Macaca mulatta: one gene and its partner. The protein of the gene in region 1 binds, or shares a complex with, the protein of each later gene. Links are inferred from orthologs where the notes say so. Each region holds a gene or a part of one and is shown in the gene's direction. Other genes may lie near its edges.

Region 1 (3,908 bases):
CAAAGCGCGAGAAGGGCCATGGCTGCTCAGGGTAATGGCGGTTTCTAAGCATTAAATGATCAGACCATGCTACACGTTCTTAGATCCTGGGCCCTGGTAGAAGGTATAGACAAGGGTTTATGGTAAAGGACCAAAACTGATGTCTATTCCAACAGGGACCCCAAAGCCATCTGGGGCCCTCCCTGCCATCCTCCTCACCTCAGGTTAAGGTAGGAGACGGCCCAAGACTAACCCTGCAGTGCTTTCCCTCAGTGCATCCACCGGGATGTGGCAGCGCGAAATGTGCTGTTGACCAATGGGCATGTGGCCAAGATTGGGGACTTCGGGCTGGCTAGGGACATCATGAATGACTCCAACTACATCGTCAAGGGCAATGTAAGTGCTGGGAGGGCTTGGGCCAGGCTGAGGAGGGGGTGAAGAGTCAGGGCCCAAAATAACTGGGGACTGTTATCCCAGGCCCGCCTGCCTGTGAAGTGGATGGCCCCAGAGAGCATCTTTGACTGTGTCTACACGGTTCAGAGCGACGTCTGGTCCTATGGCATCCTCCTCTGGGAGATCTTCTCACTTGGTGAGCCACTGGGCCCACTCCAGGCAGAGCCTAGGGCTGGCTCCTCTGGTTGCCCCACTGGTGGACAAAGATGTTTGGTGCCCAGGACACAACAAGGATTGTGAGAGTGCAGGAATGGGCAAGGGTCTCCGTTTAAACCCAGCATTGCGGTTTCTGCAGGGCGGGGCAGACCCCCTGCCCCTGACAGGCGCTCCTTTCTGGCTCTTCCCTCATTTGTCTCTGCTCAGTTGCTGCTACCTGTTACCCTCCTTTGTCACTGTTTCCCTCCTTTGCCTGAAATCTACAGACCCTTGAAGATGCAGCTCTCTACTACTAGGCTCTAGTAGAAAGAACTCCCATTTCCTGAGGACTAGGCACAAGGACTTGTCCCCAGTTCTTAAATACCCTGCTCCAGCACCCTCATAACCACCCGACTGTCCCCACTTTAACGATACACAACTGAAGCTTTGGTTTTACTGATCCCAAAGCCTGTGCAAGAATTCTTGTTTGGCGTGATAAGGCCTGGCTGGAGGCTCACACGTTCCTAAAGCCTAAGCCTGCCACACAGTGGATAAGAGCAGCTGCTGTTGCAGTGTTGTCAAGTAGGACCCCTCAAACCCAGTCTAAGATGTGTGTGGGTGTGCGGGAACGGGGAGAGGACAACAGGCATGGCCTCTTACCTGATCTCGGCCTTTGCAGGGCTGAATCCCTACCCTGGCATCCTGGTGAACAGCAAGTTCTATAAACTGGTGAAGGATGGATACCAAATGGCCCAGCCTGCATTTGCCCCAAAGAATATGTAAGCGAAGGGATCCCAGGGAGGGAAAAGGACACCCCAGGCTTTCACTGGAACGGGATGGAAGGCCGTGTGGCCCTGATCTTTCCCTGTCCAAAATGTTCCAGGGTCAGGCTTTCTCTCTCCCACAGTGGGCACAAGCCCCTTCTGAGTTCAAGGTATGAGCGATGTTCTCAGAGAAGCAGCTGTCTGTTAGGGCTGGTCCGAAATGACCACTTTTCTTTTTCTTTTTTTTTTTTTTTTTTTTTTTTGAGACATCTTGCTCGTAGCCTAGGCTGGAGTGCAGTGGTGTGTACGATCATAGCTCACTGCAGCTTCAATCTTCAGGGCTCAAGCAATCCTTTGGCCTCAGCCTCCCAAGCAGCTGGGGCTACAGGTGTGCACCACTAAGCCCAGCTATTTAAAAAAAATTTTTAGTAGAGATGGGATCTCATTATGTTGTCCAGGCTGGTCTTGAACTCCTAGCCTCATGTAATCCTCCTGCATCAACCTCCCAAAGTGTTGGGATTATAGGCATGAGCCACTGTACCTGTCCCTAAACTCGGACTTTTAAGAGACTGTTATTACAGTGACCCTGAGGATACCAAAAGGGCCTCATCTGTCAAAATGAGGGTGATGAGAGTACCCTTCTGCAAGGGTTACTGTGAGGATTAAATGGTAAAGCATGCCAAGGACCTGGCACAGGTTTTATACTAAAATTACTTTTGACTGGGTTTGGGGACCTCTGCTGGGTAGGTCTCCCTAGGGGTGTGTGTTAACGACCCCGGACCCTAGAGAGCTGCACATGGGCATCCTCTGTCCTATCTCCAGATACAGCATCATGCAGGCCTGCTGGGCCTTGGAGCCCACCCACAGACCCACTTTCCAGCAGATCTGCTCCCTCCTTCAGGAGCAAGCCCAAGAGGACAGGAGAGAGCGGGTGAGTGGGGTGAGGCTTGGGGTGGGTGGCCGGTAAAGCAGGTTGGGCTGGGCCTGATGGATCTGGACTGACAGTCTCTGGTCTCTCCCACCCTCAGGACTATACCAATCTGCCAAGCAGCAGCAGAAGCGGTGGTAGCGGTAGCGGCAGCAGCAGCAGCAGCAGTGAGCCGGAGGAGGAGAGCTCTAGTGAGCACCTGGCCTGCTGCGAGCAAGGGGATATCGCCCAGCCCTTGCTGCAGCCCAACAACTATCAGTTCTGCTGAGGAGCCGACGACAGGGAGCACCACTCTCCCCTCCTGCAAGCTTCAACTTCTCCACGGACGGGGTGACGTGGGGAGAACACACAAACTCTGCCTTCGGTCATTTCACTCAACAGCTTGGCCCAGCGCTGAAACTTGGGAAGGTGAGGGATCCAGGGGAGGTCTGAGGATCCCACTCCCTGAGCGTGGGCCATCACTGCCAGTCAGGGGCTGGGGGCTGAGCCCTCACCCCCTCTCCCCTACCGTTCTCATGGTGTTGGCCTCGTGTTTGCTATGCCAACTGGTAGATGTTCCACATCTCCTTTCCTAATATTCTTCTCTTAATGGAAGTGGACTGACTTTATGCCTGTGAAGTCCCCAGGAGCTACACTGCTACTGAGAAAACCAGGCTCCTTGGGGCTAGACAGACTGGCAAAGAGTTGAGCTCTTCCTCTCCGAGAGGCGCAGCAAGAGCAGCAGATGCTCACAGACTACACTCAGCTCAGGCCCCTTGGAGCAGGATGGCTCCTCTAAGAATCTCACAGGACCTCTTAGTCTCTGCCCTACAAGCCTTCTTCACTCCACAGCCCTACCCCTCCTACCCCAGCACTGGTACTGCTGTGATGAGCCAAGTGGCAGCTAAAAGTTGGGGGTGTTCTGCCCAGTCCCCTGTCATTCTGGGCTAGAAGGCAGGGGACCTTGGCATGTGGCTGGCCACACCAAGCAGGAAGCACAAACTCCCCCAAGCTGACTCATCCTCACTAACAGTCACGCCGCGGGATGTCTCTGCCCACATTAAACTAACAGCATTAATGCAGTCAGCCTCTGGTTCTTTGTGCCATATGAGCGCCTGCAAATTCCCTGGAACTTCTTTCCCTCCCGCCTTCACATGCAGTGACGAGCTCATGTCTGTGGCGCTTGACCACACTGTGCACGGAATTGACTCCTGCTTCACCAAAACCAGATAATTTAATAAACTTTATTCTTGTTGGGGGAAGAGAGAAGGAGGGGGAAAAAAAGCCACCTACTCCACTCCTCTCAATAAATTAACACATGGCCAATTCCCAGGCCCTAAACAAACCCTGGGCACTTGAGCCAGTCCTGCTGTTTCCTTATGGCCCAGTCTGCTTCCCCTTCACAGAAGGGAGTTTTTCCTACTGCTGCCAGGTTATGTCATGGCCAGGGACCACATCCTGTCTGTGGAGAGGGTCCCAGGCCCAGAGAGGATGTTGGCTGCAGCAGCAGTGGCCAGGGAAAGGAGGAAGGGGATGCTCTTCCTCAAAGCTTGGGGGCGGAGAGGACAGTCCTGGAAGAGAGCTGTGGCTGACTGTTCCTCAGCTTCCCCCAAATGTGGGTACAGGAAGAGCAAGAGAGAAATGTATCCCTCCTTCAGGGAGAATCAAGA
Region 2 (3,808 bases), on another chromosome or scaffold:
GGTGGGTGCTGGGAGAGAAGAGGGGTCTCAGAAAAAACTTCTCTGCCATGATAAGAGGTGGCTGGCTGGAGGCAAGGCCTGATGGTGCTCAAATAGGCAGGTGGCAGGCAAGAGATGGCCCGTTACTGGCACTGGTGCCTCTGATTAATCAGTTGGGCTCCTTTTGAAACACATACCCAGGGCTCCAAGAGGTCTCTGGCAAGGGATGAGTTCCAGTGAAACTGAGTTTGATCCCACAGTCTTTCCAGTGGCAGAGCCAGATCTGCATTGAACCAGGTGGGAGGAAGTGCTGGGCCCAGGGGAGGTGTCTCTGGCTTGCCATCTGAAAGCCGGTGCATGAACGTGAACTTGAGGGCAGTTCAAAAAGTGCTTGGCTCAGTGTTGATGTTACAGAGACAGAAAAAATGGGTAGATGCAAGTCCTGCCCTCGAGTTTCCTGTGTCATTAAAATTTAGACTGGTAGGCACACCATCTGTGTCACTATTAGTTCAATGTGTAGTTAGGTTTGGCTTAATCTGGGAAGGCTTCTTGTAGGTGACATTTGGGTTGTTTTCATGGTAGAACAAGGTTGTGCTGTGGCTGCTAGAAATCCTGGGAAAGCTGGATTTGAGGGATGCTGTATCCTGAGGTAAGGGGCAGAGCCTGTAGCATTGTAGGTTTGAGGCCTTTGTTTTTCTGCTGTGAGCAGGGCATGGGGATAACTGGGGAGAGTGAGGGCTGGGGAGAAATGACACCCTCTCTGTCACAGACATGGCTGGGCTCCCTGCTGTTGTTGGTCTGTCTCCTGGCGAGCAGGAGTATCACCGAGGAGGTGTCGGAGTACTGTAGCCACATGATTGGGAGTGGACACCTGCAGTCTCTGCAGCGGCTGGTGAGTGCGTGGCCATGCTGTATTCTACCTTCTCTCCACTGGGGAAATGGAGGCAGGAGCCAGGGAGCAGGTCAAAGAGAGCAGTTGCAGGCAGGAAAATAGGGCAGTGCAGGACATTGCTTGTGGTTCCCACTAGCTCCACCAGTGATGTCCTTCACTAGCCTTCCCAAAGTTAGGACCTCTGGTCTCCCCAGCTCTGAAGCCCTCTCTGACTCCCCTGCAGGCAGTGGATGGGGTGGGCTTCCAGCTGCTTGCCTGGGTTAGTGATTGCCCAGGAATATCAACCACTAATTCTGAAAAGGCTTCTGAGGTCTGCTGTCCCTCAGTGGGATGCCTCCTCTGGGAAGCTAGCCCAGGCAGCCTGCTGTGTCCAGATGTTGCGTCTAGCTCCTGGACTCTCATGTGTGGCGCCAGTCTGGCATCAGAGCCCCACCCAGATTTGGAGGGGAAGTGCTCACTTAACTCCCAGCCTTCCACCCTCACTTCCCTGGCTCTTGCCCATACCCTGAGGCTGGGATGGCCTGCTCGTCTAGGCCATGAAGGAGCCCGTATCTCATTCTAATCAGGCCCATACGTGGTCCACCCAGGCAGAATCAGGTTGCTGTCATGGCTGCCGTCCTGCTCACTGGGAATTTACCATCCCTCTGGCCAGCTAGGCAGGGTGGGGCCTCACTGGCTAAGGCCAGCTCCAGGGCCCTGAGCTTGGGGCCTGTGGGCTATGCCTTCCACCTCTCTTGCCCTAGCGCTACTTCTCCTGCATGTAGTTGCTGTAGCAATCCAAGGTAGACCAAGAGCCCCAGCATTCTCTGAGGCTTAAAACCCAGAACTGCTGCTCTGGGGCTAAAGAGGGCTTTAAGGGCATCCAGCTCCAACGCCTACAGATGTTCAGTCCCCAGAGCTTGTCCAGCCTCTGCTTGAATTCCTGCCATGACAGGGTGCTCACTACCTCCCAGGGAAGATTATATCCTATATTCTCCTATAGACATTTCTTTCTTAAAACAAATGGGCATTTGTCAGATTTCCTGGGGTGGCAGATGGAAGGAAAAGACTTGTTCTTCTACAGCCTTCCCCTGGGCATATGGAAGGCACTGATCTTCTCCTAGACTTGACTGTCTTTCCACATGTGGTTGGCAGGGATGAAGTTCAAACCCCAATGTATTCAGAAGTTAAGGTCCCCGTTCTGAAGAAGGCTGAGTTGAGCTGTAGGTTGCCCTGCAATCATTGGCCTGCTCTCTCTTACAGATTGACAGTCAGATGGAGACCTCGTGCCAAATTACCTTTGAGTTTGTAGACCAGGAACAGTTGGTGAGTGATAGCTGTTTACAAAATCCATGTACCAGTCTGCATGCAACTCCCAGGGTGGGGTGTGTGTGGGAACATGAAGGCAGCAGAATGCCTACAGCTGGAAAGGTTGAGAGTGTGAGGATCCACGGGTGCTCAACTCTGGGGTGCCAGTATCCAGGGCTCAAGTCCCCTGCCATTCCCTTCTCCTGGCTTGATACATAACAAACGCTCACTAGGTACCAAGCACTTTGCTAATTTAGTTCTGACAGTACCACTATGTGGTACACAAATACTGTTTATTATCCACAGAGAGGTGAAAGGAGCATAGCTAGTAGGTGGTAGAGGCCTGATTTGAATCCAGGAAGGTTGGTTGTAGGGCTTGAGGCAAATCAATACTTCTTCCAGGTCACATGCTTCGCTTAAGGATGTCACTTCTTTTCACTAGGCCAACCAGCAGGCAGGGAGGCAGTCCAGCCCTTCCTGGACTTGCCCCACACCCAGCAAGCCACCAAGTGCTGCTGGTTCTGCCTCTCAGCATCTCTGGGTTCTGTCTCCTCCATCCCTACCTTCACCCCTCAATCAGTTGCTTGGACAATTTCAGGAGCCTCCTAACTGGTCTCCCTGCTTTTAGTTCACTCTTCATCTTACCACTAGGGGGAATTTTCTGAAACGCCAACCTGCTGCCTTTACCTCACTCTCCCAAAACCATCAGGGGCCCCATCACTCCAGAAGAAAGCCAAGGTTGTCTAGCCTGGGTTACACCAGGTCTAGCCATTCTCCACCACATAAACCTGTACACCGCCTCTCCATTCCCTGCTCCTTCCTGCCTCCCATCTTTGCACAAGCTCTTCCCAATGACTGTCATGCCTTTCCACCTGCTCCCCCAGTCACTATTCCACATCTGTTCATCTTTATGCCTCATGCAAAACTGCCATGGTATCCAGAAGTTGCCCCTGTCTCTGAGCTTCCACACACCAGACCCATATGCACCTCTGTTAGTACTGGAGACCACCTCATGGTCCAAAGAATAGCCTCAGTATTTTATAGCCTCACTCACTCGCTTGCTCTAGCATTCATGCCTGAACTAGCATTTGCTAGGAACCTACTGGACTAGATGCTGGGGGTAGGGAGCTAAAGCAGAGTGGGTCTTCAAGGCAACTACCATCTCTTTAGGGAGACAAAACACAGAGGTTATCCTTTGTACCATGAGATAGTCTTCACCCCCCCTATATCCTGGAGGATTTGAAGGGGCCATATGGTAAAAGATTTTTGTGAAAGGAAGCCAAGAGGAAGACAGAAAGAAAGGCAGGGGGAGGTTCCCTGGAGCCCACCTTCCCTATGTACATCCATCCTGATTAAAACCTCATATTCCAGAAACCCAGAGAACTCTCTAATCAGAATCCACATTTCCTTCACTCTAACCCAGTCTCCAATAGTGCTAGATCCCAAAGAGAGAGAAAGACAGGCAAGCTGAGGGCAGCTTTCTCCTCGTTGCTGGCATGGTGTGGTCCCTCCCCTGGGGGAAGGGGGAGAGCAAGCTGCAACCCTCCATCTGCCTGGGGTTGGGGGTTCCCAGGCCACAATGGCCAGGCTATAAGCCTCAGGTTCCTGTTTTTTCAGAAAGATCCGGTGTGCTACCTTAAGAAGGCATTT

The links.
Region 2: the proteins of CSF1R (region 1) and CSF1 are in contact, whole or in part, in a crystal structure (PDB 3EJJ), measured with the Mus musculus proteins. The link is inferred for Macaca mulatta from reciprocal best matches to the Homo sapiens genes CSF1R and CSF1. Residues at the interface, in NP_001032948.2 of Mus musculus: Arg142, Arg146, Leu149, Arg150, Lys151, Lys168, Val169, Leu170, Ser172, Asn173, Val231, Gly232, Phe233, Leu248, Ser250, Asp251, Phe252, Asp254, Asn255, Tyr257, Lys259; in NP_001107002.1 of Mus musculus: His38, His41, Met42, Gly44, Asn45, Gly46, His47, Phe87, Gln90, Asp91, Asp94, Arg98, Asp101, Glu110, Arg111, Gln113, Glu114, Leu115, Asn117.

The regions. Positions count from the first base shown.
Region 1 is NC_133411.1:159,021,309-159,025,216, reverse strand, and holds the end of CSF1R (macrophage colony-stimulating factor 1 receptor), read left to right. Parts: intron 1-252; coding exon 253-375; intron 376-456; coding exon 457-568; intron 569-1,246; coding exon 1,247-1,346; intron 1,347-2,153; coding exon 2,154-2,262; intron 2,263-2,359; coding exon 2,360-2,527; 3' UTR 2,528-3,320; downstream 3,321-3,908. UniProt on the Homo sapiens protein: Tyrosine-protein kinase that acts as a cell-surface receptor for CSF1 and IL34 and plays an essential role in the regulation of survival, proliferation and differentiation of hematopoietic precursor cells, especially mononuclear phagocytes, such as macrophages and monocytes.
Region 2 is NC_133406.1:130,284,066-130,287,873, reverse strand, and holds part of CSF1 (macrophage colony-stimulating factor 1), read left to right. Parts: intron 1-748; coding exon 749-871; intron 872-2,113; coding exon 2,114-2,176; intron 2,177-3,775; coding exon 3,776-3,808. UniProt on the Homo sapiens protein: Cytokine that plays an essential role in the regulation of survival, proliferation and differentiation of hematopoietic precursor cells, especially mononuclear phagocytes, such as macrophages and monocytes.